2 linked regions of the Canis lupus familiaris genome follow. The protein of the gene in region 2 interacts with the protein of the main gene of each other region in a pairwise test. Links are inferred from orthologs where the notes say so. Each region holds a gene or a part of one and is shown on either strand. Other genes may lie near its edges.

What was found.
Region 1: the proteins of NUFIP2 (region 2) and FBLN5 interact in binary tests that used the Homo sapiens proteins (3 or more experiments, as listed by UniProt). The link is inferred for Canis lupus familiaris from reciprocal best matches to the Homo sapiens genes NUFIP2 and FBLN5.

Annotation. Positions count from the first base shown.
Region 1 is NC_049229.1:1,288,437-1,294,348, forward strand, and holds part of FBLN5 (fibulin-5), read right to left. Parts: intron 4,491-5,912; coding exon 4,436-4,490; intron 2,542-4,435; coding exon 2,490-2,541; intron 1-2,489. UniProt on the Homo sapiens protein: Essential for elastic fiber formation, is involved in the assembly of continuous elastin (ELN) polymer and promotes the interaction of microfibrils and ELN. Stabilizes and organizes elastic fibers in the skin, lung and vasculature.
Region 2 is NC_049230.1:43,372,278-43,378,189, forward strand, and holds part of NUFIP2 (nuclear fragile X mental retardation-interacting protein 2), read right to left. Parts: intron 5,261-5,912; coding exon 3,539-5,260; intron 1-3,538. UniProt on the Homo sapiens protein: Binds RNA.

The sequences.
Region 1 (5,912 bases), on a different chromosome or scaffold from region 2:
ACAGGGGCCAGCGCCTGGGGGACACATGTCGGAAGCCCGATGGCTCACCCCAAGCAGCCCCTCCAAAGAAATGCACACGAAGGCCCACCAGGAAAGGGAAATGCTGAGGCTCAGGTGCCCCATCTGCAGCCGTAAGCCTGAGGCCCTCCAGAAGGCCGGTGGGACAGAAAACAATGGCCCGCTGCCCCCCTCTCTGCCCCTGGCGCACCCCCGTCTCCCAGTGCCTCTAATCAAAGTGCACACCCAGGTTTTCCACAGCAGGGTTGTGTTGTTCCTCACCACTCATCACTTTTGGGAACCATGTGTCTCTCCTCTGGGTCTTAGCTGACGTGAGCTCCAGGAAGACACAGCCCCTGGCTTCCATCAAATATAATCAAAAAGCTAAATACACCCCCCAGGTGGGAGCAAGTGGGGCTGCCTTATTGTCCTGGTAGAGGAGCTATGCTCCAGCCACAGCAAACTATTCTGTACTCGCAGTGTCCTTTCCACCCCGGTCTTCACTTCTGCTGTTTCTTCCACTTGGGATGCCATTTCTCAGGATCCTACTCATCCCTCAGTTCTCAATTCAGGGGCACCTGAGTGGCTCAGGACATGACTCCGGGGTCCGGGGATCCAGGACCTCCCTCTGCCTATGTCTCTGCCTATGTTTCTCATCTGATAAATAAAACATTAAAAAAAATACTAGATTCAAATGTGGCCTCCATGAAGGCTTTTTTTATTGACCCCTGACATAAGACATCACTGCCTCCCCTACTTCTGTAGGGCCCATGGCTCTGGCCTTAACTTGGCAATGATTGTTATTCCAGCACATACGGTGTTCTCTCTGTCCAGGTCTACCTTTTCCACCAGATGACGTACTAGGAGAATAGCCCCCAAATGTCAGTCCTCATCCTCGGAACTGGTGGCAGCATCAGGCTACTCAGTAAAGGAAAATGAGGTAGCAGGTGGAATTTAAGCTGCTACCCGGCTGACCTTGAGATGTGGGGGGATTACATGAGTGGGCCCAGTGTCATCACAGAAGTCCTTAAAAGCAGAAGAAGAGGCAAGAAGGGTCAGTCAGAGAGATGTGACAACGGGAAAAGAAGAGATCCAGAGCCTGTGAGGGACTTAACCCACAGTGGTGGCTCTGAAGATGGAGGAGGGGACCACGAGGCAGGGGATGAGGAGGGAAAGACCTCTACTGACAGCCAGCAAGGACCTGGGGGCTCCAGTCCTGCAACTGTGGGAAATGCCACGGGAATGCAAACTGGTGCAGCCACTACAGAGAGGGATCTGGAGGTTTCTCAAAAAGTTAAAAATAGGACCACCATATGGTCCAGCAATCCCAATTTTGGGTACTTATCTGAAGGAAATGAGAGCAGAACCTCAAAGAGACACCTGCACTCCCATGCTCCCTGCAGGGCAGTTCACAAGAGCCAAGACGTGGAAGCCACCAACGTGTACATCAGCAGAGGAATGGATAAGGTGGGTGAAGATGTGTTTATATCAAGGTACACACGCACACACACATATTCATACACATGCACACTCAGTGGGCATTTTCAGCCATGAGAGAGAGAGAAGGAAGTCCTGCCATTTCCAACACCATGGATGGACCTCGAGGGTGTTACGCTAAATGAGATAAGCCAGGCGCAGGAAAACAAATCCTGTACGACCTCCCTTATATGTGGAATCAAAAAAGCCAAACTCATAACAATCGTGAGTAAAAGGGTGGCTGACAAGGGCTGGGGTCTGGGAGAGGCTGGTGAGGGGAACAAAGTCTCGGTTATAAGTTGCGTGCGTGCTGGTACAGCACCGTGAGGGTCGCTGACACACTTGGAAACTGCTAAGAGAGCAGATCTCACATGTTCTCACCATAAGAAAAGAAAGGTGACTATGTGGTGTGACGGAGCTGCAGCAGGGGCTGCGGCAGCGATCACCGTGATACGTACGCGTGTCACACCAATGAGTCCTACCTACACCTTGAGCTCACACAACGTGGTGTGTCCATTGTATCTCAATGTTTCCAAAAAAAGGAAGTGGATTCTACCAACACCACCAGTGAGCAGGGACAAGGAGTCTCCCCGAGAGCTCCTCGAAAGGAGCAAAGCCTTGCTGGACCTCCATGTTTGCCTGGGAGACCCCCATACAACCTCCGACCTACCAATAACATAGATAATGATCCATAGATCACTGAGCTGGGAGATACATTTTTGTTGTTTAAACCACTACATCTGTGGCCATTGGTTACAGCAGATAGGAAGCGAATGCGGAGAGCCCCGGGGACACGGATCCGTGTGGCCCTTCCTGCCCCCTCGCAGGACTGCCCACAAAGGAGGTGATTGACCAAAGGCCATTCTTGACACCTTCTGTGGCCCTGTTTTCTTCCACGATCCAGGCCAACACAGATTTCATTATGTCGAGCAACGGCCGAGACAGACATGGCCCTGTCATCGGGTCTATCACCAAACATCCCCCACCCCAGCGCAGGATCCTCGGAGGCCCCGTACCTAAACACTGTCCTGACGAGCGGTCCAGATCGAAGCCATTAGTGCATTGTTGCTGCAGGCAAGGAGAAAGGAGACAGAGGTGAGCTTGTAGTCCTTCGTTTTTTTTTTGTTTGTTTTTTGTTTTTGTTTTTGTTTTTTTAATATAAAAGTATTACAAGGATATCACAGAAAGTTCCAGAAATGAAGTAAAGGAAAAAAAAAAAAAGCATCTGTAACACCAACACCTATTATAAGGCCTATTTACCCCCATTCTTCTTAGTATTTTTTATCATCATTGTACACTGAGCATCACTCTTTAACCCCCGCCCCCCACGTCATTGCTTCAAAACCCCCAATTGTAGCAGATTTGGGGGCTATCTCCCACTGTAGCTATGAAGGGCAGTAACCACACTTGGTCTGCATGGTGATGAGGCACATCTGTATTCATCTCTTTCCAAGAATGGCTACAACTGCGGTTAAGGGCGATCACTCTTACCCCAGGTGCTATGTGACCCCTTGTCAGGGACTGTGGTGAGCACCCTGCCTGCTGTGACATCCCCTCCCTGCACCCTCCACCCTGAAAGCTGTACACACAGCAAAGTGGTGGGTTTGGTAAGAAAAGCCGACTTGGGGAAACCCCTCTACTTGCATCTCGGCACAACAACCACACAAAGATGCTTCCAGAAATAGGCCTCAACAGTCCCCAAGGGTCGTGGTCTTCACGTGCACCTCAAGGCACAGCTTTACGGCCTCAGAAAAATGTCATGGGGCCGACAGATCTCGGAGGCGAGGTGGAGAAGGAATGCTTCTGACCATGGGGATCCCCTCCCTGGCCCTCCCTGCAGCTCCCAGGGCTTGGCTTCCCAGGGCCATGGGCTGGTGCTTGGAGATGATGGAGTCAGCCTGTATTCATGGGAGGGCTCTGGAGGCTCAGGGCCTCAGGGCCTCAGGGCAAAAGAAAGGGAGCTATGAGCCAGGAGGCTGTGCCATAAAGCTCGGGAAACCGCGAGACGGATGTCCGGGACTGGCTTACCCACTAAGCGCCAGTGAGGGCTCAAAGCCACCAGCCTGCCCGGCATCAGCCTCTCACCTACAACTTCCTCTGCCTTTATCTCCTCACCCGTGAATGGGGGTGACAGTGCCTCCTTCCAGGCGGTTCCAAGTGTCAATGTTTGCAAAGGGCCTAACATGCACCGTGCAGCCCAGGACCCTGTCCTCCCTGGGCCTGGATGTCACCGTCTGTCACCGTGAGGCTGGACCACCAAACTCCAAGGCCCCTCCAAGACCCTGTCTATCCCTAATAGCCTGAATCTATTTTGAAATTCGTAATTTGAAGTGAAAAAAATATACTCCCCCACCCTTAGCCCTGCTCCGTGGTGAGGCCTCACTCATTTCTGAGCTAGAGTTAGAGGCCGCTCTGAGTTTTCAGGAGGGATGTACCCACAGCCCCCAAGGCTAACATAGACATGGCTTCGTAAAGTCCGGGCCCCCACCTGAGCCTCCCCCCCACCAGCCCTCCACACTCCTGCCAGGGGCTTGGCCCAGACGCAGGACCCCCATCCCGCTGGGGATGCGCGTCTATGGAGACACAGTCCCACATGGGCCACGTGCACGAAGGGCACCGCCGCCCCCAAGCACCACAGCACCTCTGACTTCTCAACACTGACTGTGAATCAAGACCTGAAAGACATCACGGAGGCAGCGGATCCCATTCCCAGTCTCAGATTAGGGATCAGAGGCCTCAAGTCACAGCCCTGCCACTTAAAGACGACGACGTTGTCACCAGGGGCAGGCAACCGCCTCTCAGAGCCTGGCTGCCCCCTGCATGCAGGGGTGGAGCTCAGCTCAGGTGAGCTGTGGCGCCCCCTCTGCCCCCCCCCCACCCTGGGATTCCAAAACGCAGGGCTGGACACCCTCATTCCGATATTTAACATGCTTCTAGATAATAAACAAAGTCAAAATCATACCTGTGCCTTCCCAGGGCTCAGAAGACAGACAGCCAGAATGGTAACGGTGAGAATCCTGCGGGGAGCAAGAAGTTGATACATAAATACCCATGATCGTTCCAGAATCCAGGTCTGGGAACAAACATGGGTCTCACGCTGCCCATGATCCTGCAATGGGGACTCCACCCTGTGTATTTATGGGGGGGCCAGGTCAGCAGGCTCCAGATGCCCCCGATCGCCCCAAACAAAACCACGCCTCTTCTATTGGTTTCGAGTGTTGGGATAATGTGTAAGATGACTTTTCTTTTTTAGGTAAAAGGTTTTGCTGCTTCAAAGAGAAAGTCTGAAACCCACCCCTGTGGCATGACCAATGTACTGACCGACTGCGCCGTCTCTACCTCTCACACAAGATTTGCCTGAGGTTGGAACGTCTTTTTCCTGAAACGGATTCAGGAGTGACCAAGCCCACAGCACCCTCGAGGGAGGAGGCAGGCACCCACGTGAAGCACTCGAGCCCTGGGGCACACGGGGGTCGGCGGGAAGTCCCCTAAGCCCAGAGCTGCCCGCAGGCCCGCCGCCCCCAACCTCCCCGAGCCTGCACCTCCCAGGCTTCGGCACCCACGAGCTTCCATCCAACAAAATCGTGGTGGCCAATATGCCTTAACCTCTCAGTGTAGATGCCACCTTACATCTGTCAGCATGGCTTATAATCAAAAGAGCAGAAACAGGGGCCCGGGGGTGGGGGTGGGGCTCAGCGGTGAAGCGTCTGCCTTCAGCTCAGGGCATGACCCCGGGTTCTTGGGATGAGTCCCACATCGGGCTCCCCACAGGGAGCCTGCCTCTCCCACTCCCTCTGCTGCTTACCCTGCTTGTCCTCTCTCTGTATATAATAAAGAAATAAAATATTTTCTTTAAAAAAAGCAGAAAACAGCACACGTTGGAAAGGATGTGAAGCCACTGGAAGCCTGTGCGCAGTCGGTGGGGAAGTCTGATGGTGCAGCTGGGTGGTAGCCGCCCGGGAAATTAAAACTGCATGTACCATAGGCTCCAGCAATTCCACGCCCTGGAGAACACGCAGACGAAGTGCAAGCGGGGCCCTGACGGGGTATCCACACACCCGGGTTTACAGCAGAGTCATTCACAACAGCCCGAAGCTGAAAGCAACCCCAGGGTCCCCAGGCGGAGGGGTGGGTGAGCGGAATATTCGGAATATTCGTCGGCTTACCAAGGAGGGGATTTGCGGCGGCGGGAGCCAGGCCACCCCAGGGACAGCCCCGGGGATGGGGGGACAGGGAGCTCGGGACACGACCCCCCCAGCAGAAGGATAAATACCCTCCAAGTGTGTTTACCTGAGGGCCATGAACAGCTAAAGGCCTAGAGAGAGTTGGACGGGGACGCGGGGGGCACAGGGGAAGGAAGAATGGGGGTGGGGCGGGGGGAGGCAGTGCTTCGCAAGGACGGAGTCTCAGTTTTGCAAGATGAGAAGAGTCCTGGAGAC
Region 2 (5,912 bases):
CACGTCAACCATCAAGAATTCTATCTTATTTTATTTTTTTTAAAGATTTTATTTATTTATGTGAGAGAGAGAGAGAGACAGAGACACAAGCAGAGGGAGAAGCAGGCTCCATGTAGGGAGCCCGATATGGGACTCGATCCCGGTCTCCAGGATCATGCCCTGGGCCGAAGACGGCGCCAAACCTCTGAGCCACCCAGGCTGCCCTCTCTCTTATTTTATTCATCCTCCCTTGCATCTCTACATACTGGGTAAAATTTACCATATTAAATTATTTTTTAATAAATACTCCAAAATATCAGCACTGAATACTTGATGAAGTTCCGTGCAGTATTAGTTAGGCAAGATAAATCAACCTGGTTTAAATGAACACTGACCAAACACACGACTCACATCAACCTACCTTATTTCAACAGATTTGTCTTCAAAGGACTTTTTGAATCAAATGACTTCAAATGACCATTTCAAAACCAAAGATTCACCTCAAAAAGTTGAGTCTAGTGTTACAAGCCTTTGAAAAGTAAATGCTTTAAAGGAGGTAACAGTTCTATGTCCTGGGTAGGTGCATTAAAAGCTATCACTCAAACATAACCAAAGTATCAACTAGCAAAATGTTAGGATACCTGGAATTTGCTTTTGAAATTCCTACCAAATAAAGTGCGAAGGTAGATAGGTTAAACAAGAATGAATACTTTCTAAATGTTCTGGCTGGACAATGGGTACATTGAGGTTCATTATAGGTTCCACTTTTGAGTATCAATTTTTTCATAGTTAATTTAAAAAGCTATTACTTTAAGGTAATAAATGCCCCTTAAGTGCCATTTGAGAGAAATAGAAAATAGGACTTACATCTCACCATAAATATTAATACTGCTATGTAATGGTACAATATTCCCCTAGATAATAAAAAGATTAACCCTCCCATTTCTTAAGAAAAATTAATAGCATAATATATATCAAAAGCTGAAAGAAAAATCCCAAGAACTAGATTTCCCACCAATCCCTTTTTTATGCCTCATAGTATCTTTATTTCCTATCGTCAAATGTACTGAATATTCAGATTTTCAAAGGATCTGCAGTATTTCTAAGGCTGCAAGTAATTAATGTTTAATCTAAAAAATGCACCATTCCTGCTCAACTGACACTAAGCACTCTCTTATCTACTATTTCCAAATAAAGTTGTTGAGGAGCTTACTTTTAAAGTAAGGAGGTATGCATAAAAACCTCTATTTCTGAGCCTAACTTTAACTCACTAAGTGACTGCTTTTGAACATTTAAAGAGAAGACTTCACTAAAGGACCAAGAAAATACAAGTGCTCTTTTAAAGGATAGTCTAATAAGCCCAACTGATTATTACCTCCTTTAGAGTTTAAAACAACTCAAAAAAAAAAAAAAAAAAAAAAAAAGGCCAGCCTTCACTTATGAGAAAGTTCTTCAGATCTTGAAAAGGTTGTGGTTCAAAACAAACTCACAGAAAAGAGAAATTAGTGACCTAATGAACCAATCCACATTTGGCAGGAATTCAAAGAACTTGCCACTTTGGGAACTAACTGAACTGAACATTAACCATTGTTAGGGGGGGAAAAAACAATCAATACCAATTAAATCTCAATAATACCCAACTACGAAACTCAAATTGATGCACTTTACTAAAGCAAATCTTTCAGTAATATCAGCAAAACTAAATATAACTGCATCCAGGTAGGGGCATTTAGCTTATTTAAATACCACTAATTTCAGATCTAATTAGTGTCACTATAGGAAAAATGCATACAGAATACCTATAAATAAATAGGAGTTATTACTCCCATTTAAAAAGGCTTACAATTCTCCGTAATAAAAACATATAAAAACACCAGCCAACAACCACTTCATGGAACATCTTGTCCCAAACTTTTTTGCAGGTTGTGGAAGAACGTAACCAGATATTCCTTCAGGTTCCTAATTACCCATACAAAATATTCAGGTAAAGATTTTCCCAGTAGTGGTCTCTGGTGGGCAGATAGCACAGAAAATATCACCAAAAACACCAACTCCCCCAGCAGAACCAACTTATAATTAACTACAAGTCTTAAGAAAATAAGTAATTTTTTTTGTCCTAACTTTCCTAAAAACATCCACTTCCTAATTAATTTATTTACTTCCCAACAGCAGTGCTGGAGAAAAAAAGTACAGACAGGTAATTTTATCTGCCAGGATTTCTACTCCTAAACTCCCATAAGGTAATACTACTACTTACTCCCATTTTCTAAAGGAAGAAAAATAGAAAAGGACATCTGTTCATTTTACTAATGTCTTCCAGTTTGCAGATAAGGAAAGGTATGCAGAGGAGGCAATCTGCTTAAAAGTCACATAAATAGCTTTGTTATTCATCTCTGAGGCAGTGATCCTTCCAGGGAGAATATGGGAATTACCTCATCCCCACTATCTGATATGCTGCCCCTTCCCAGCAGCTCCAAGTCTCTGCCTAAATGAGCCAGTTAAAAATGGGAATGTGCAGCATATCTGAGGTGTGCATATGCATGCATGGGGTATAAATTTCTGTTAGGGGACTAGGGGAAGACCGAAGTGGAAGACTGAAAAAACCACCATTCTCAAAAGTACCAAGGTTATAAACATCATTCACTAAGACTCATTATTTGCTGTAGGGATTTAAATAAGTTTATACCATACAGTAAATTTTTCTTTAAGACACAAAGGGCTGCCTGGATGGCTCAGTGGGTTAATCTCAGGGTCCTGGGACTGAGCCCCATGTCAGATTCCCGGCTCAGCAGGGAGTCTGACCGTGTCCCTCTCCCTCTGCCCCTCTCCATACTCACTCTCTCTGAAATAAACTTTAATTAAAAAAAAAAAAAAAAAAAGACACAAATAAACCATATTCTAAAGTTATGAGCATGGAACTTGAAAGATATGATTCCTTTTTTAACAGAGGCTTTGGGGCTATGAAAAGTACAGACCCCAAGAGCCTGGTTCCTACATTGCTAATTGAGCCTGCCATTGCAATTGTCAAAATTATTTTCCAGTTACCACTTAGCACGCATTATTCCTTCTTGGAAGAGAAGAAATAGTTTGACACTCCATCTTTCTGGACTCCTCCTCAAAAACACTGCTCCTACTCATTTTATACAAATTAGAACTATCAAGTGAGCTCACTAATAAAGAAGTACATGATATAAAAAGCAAAGGAGAGGAAACATCTGTTCAAAGAAAATTTTTAAAAAGAACTCATGAGAAAATATGTCATCCCTCTGGGCACCAACCCATCCCTCTTCATTCTTTGAAGCAGGTATAGGAAGTCAAGTACTTTTGTGTTTGTGTGAATATATAAACATTTTGAAGTTGAAAGTGAACATTCCTTCTAAATAGTACTATTTCCAAAGACCCTGAATTAATTTATCTACTGCTTATCCACTGTTCTCAACTTAGTTCCCAAATTCTTAAAAAATCTCATAAAAACTTCCAAAATTTACCCTTAATACACCAGTTAATAAATGCTTATTAAATTTATGTAAGAATCTTTATATAAAAACAAATGAATTACCTTTAGTGTGATATACAATAGCAGCCCTCAGGTCAAAAGAACCCCAGCTATCATTTCTTTCTAGGCCTCTCTGGTATCTCTGTTCTTTGGCGGAGCCTAACAAAGTGTTCGTAGGAGACACCAGAGGATTTTGATTTTCTATCTCATAGTCCTTTGAGAGAAACACTAAAGCACCTTGACTACTGGTGTCTGCTTTTTGCAGGTCACCTATATGACTGGGTTCCAAGGATAAGGCTCCACTCTCACTAGTAGTCCCAGATTTTAGAATGCTACTCAGAACTTGAGGACTAGTCCGTTTTTCCAGCTCATAAGCCTTGGGAAACACAGGATGCTCAGTTCCTGAGGGGATTATTTCAGCACCCTGTGAAACCAAAGTGGCAGGATATTCCCCTTGAAATGTCACCTCCATCACTTTATGATCTGATGACTTCCCAAGAACAGTCTCAGGGCCAGCACTGGGCTCATTTATAAATGATAAACCCCACTGATTCTGGAAGATATCCCCCAGATTTTGCTGATCTGTCTGAGAGGGTAGATCCACTTGTGCTGTGCTCAATAGCACAGTTTGCATATTTGAAGGATAGACAAAAAGGCTAGATTTAATTTGTTCAACAGCTGCTGAAGTCAGACTCATGTCCTGGAGAACTGAATCAGTCCCAGAAGAGACGGGTGTTAGAGTATTAGCAGCAGTAGTTAGCAGTGGCTGACCCCCTGGAGAATATACACTTGCATCAGTCCCTGCTAAAACAGGCCCATTAGAAAAGTTGGCCGAAGTAACAGATTTCAGCGCTGACATAGGGACCTGGGATAACCGACTTGAAGATTGGGTCTGGGTTTCCCCAGTAGACGAAGAAGATGAAGATGAAGATGGTGACACAGAGGAATTCTGTACAGTTTTGTTGAGGTTTTCCTTAACTTTGCTTGCATAACTTATTTTAGGAACTATTTTAGCACTGCTATTGTCCACTGGAAAAACTGGAGGTGGTTTAAATAGGGTCCACGAGTCCTCTTTGGAGGTAACAGCGGAAGCATGCTTTCCTTTGGGCCGATCATCAAACTTTTTGCTGCTCACACCAGGTTTAATATCAGAGCTTTTCCGTAGCATATCCCCCACAGCAGGTTTTCCTCGATTTGTTCCTCCAGGCCCAGTTTCATACTTCCAAATGGGCTTTGAACCATCTACTCGATTTCCCTTTTGTTCACTGTAGTCAGGCTTGAAATTTTCAAGTCCCTGTTTTAAGTTTGGGACACTGGTCTCTTGTTGCATTATTTTGTCCTGCACTAAATTAAGGTTTTCACAACCCTTGGCACTATTGCGCCTAGCTTTCCTTTTTTTAGGAGTGGTATATCCGCTCTCAGATCCACTACCATCATTATCTGCTCCTTTGCCCATATAACCATTAGTAATATAGCCAGAATTATTTGTTACAACACCATTTGGAATTGCTACAGTATCGGTCTTGTCTACAGACTGGTTCTCTCCAGATTTATTTTCATAAGACTTCCCATTCTTTTTGTCCATACTGTTTTTCTGAATGAAATTCCTGGTTTTAATTCCTGCTTTCCCAAAGGTGCTGGCCTTTACAGTCTGCTTCAAATTAGTGTCTACAATTTGTTGGTTGCCATTGAGCACCCTGGAAATAGGGTTGGTAGCTTCATCAGAACCCAGGCTCTTTAAAGATATTTCTCTTTCTCCAGGATTACCATTCAATTCACCATAGCCTAGAGAGAGGGGGGAAAAAAAGGTTTTTTTACAATATATAAATTACAGTAATACCTAACATTCAAAGAGACTATGCTATGAGCATATTAACTTGACTATGTTATTTCACAACTACAAGAAAACACTTGTGAACCCCATATTACTGATTAGAAGTCTACCAAGCAAGAAACTGAAACAAGCTGGTTTCAAACCAAAGTCTGAGGTCACAAAAAACTTAAGCAGTATGCCATTAATTCCTCTCATTTAACAAATCAACTTCCCCATTGTTCTCACAAGGCTGTTATAAAATTTCCTTTACAATTAACAGCAGGGCTACCCTCTGGGTAAAAATCAAATTATGCCAGTATGTTAATTTTATGTATTACAGGGAAGTTAAAGAATCCCTTTCTAGGGGTGCCTGGGTGGTTCAGTTGGTTAAATGTCTGCCTTTGACTCAGGCTCTGATCTCAGGGTCCTGGGATGGAGTCCCACATCAGATTCTTTGCTCAGTGGGGAGTCTACCCTCTACCCCACCCCCACGCACTCTCAAATAAATAAAATCCTTAAAAAAAATTTTTTAAATCCCTTTCTATGAAACCAGGAATGGCTGGTAGTCACCATAAGCAGTTTCTTTCTACTGCATTCCGCTAAACAAAAATCAAATACTTGTGA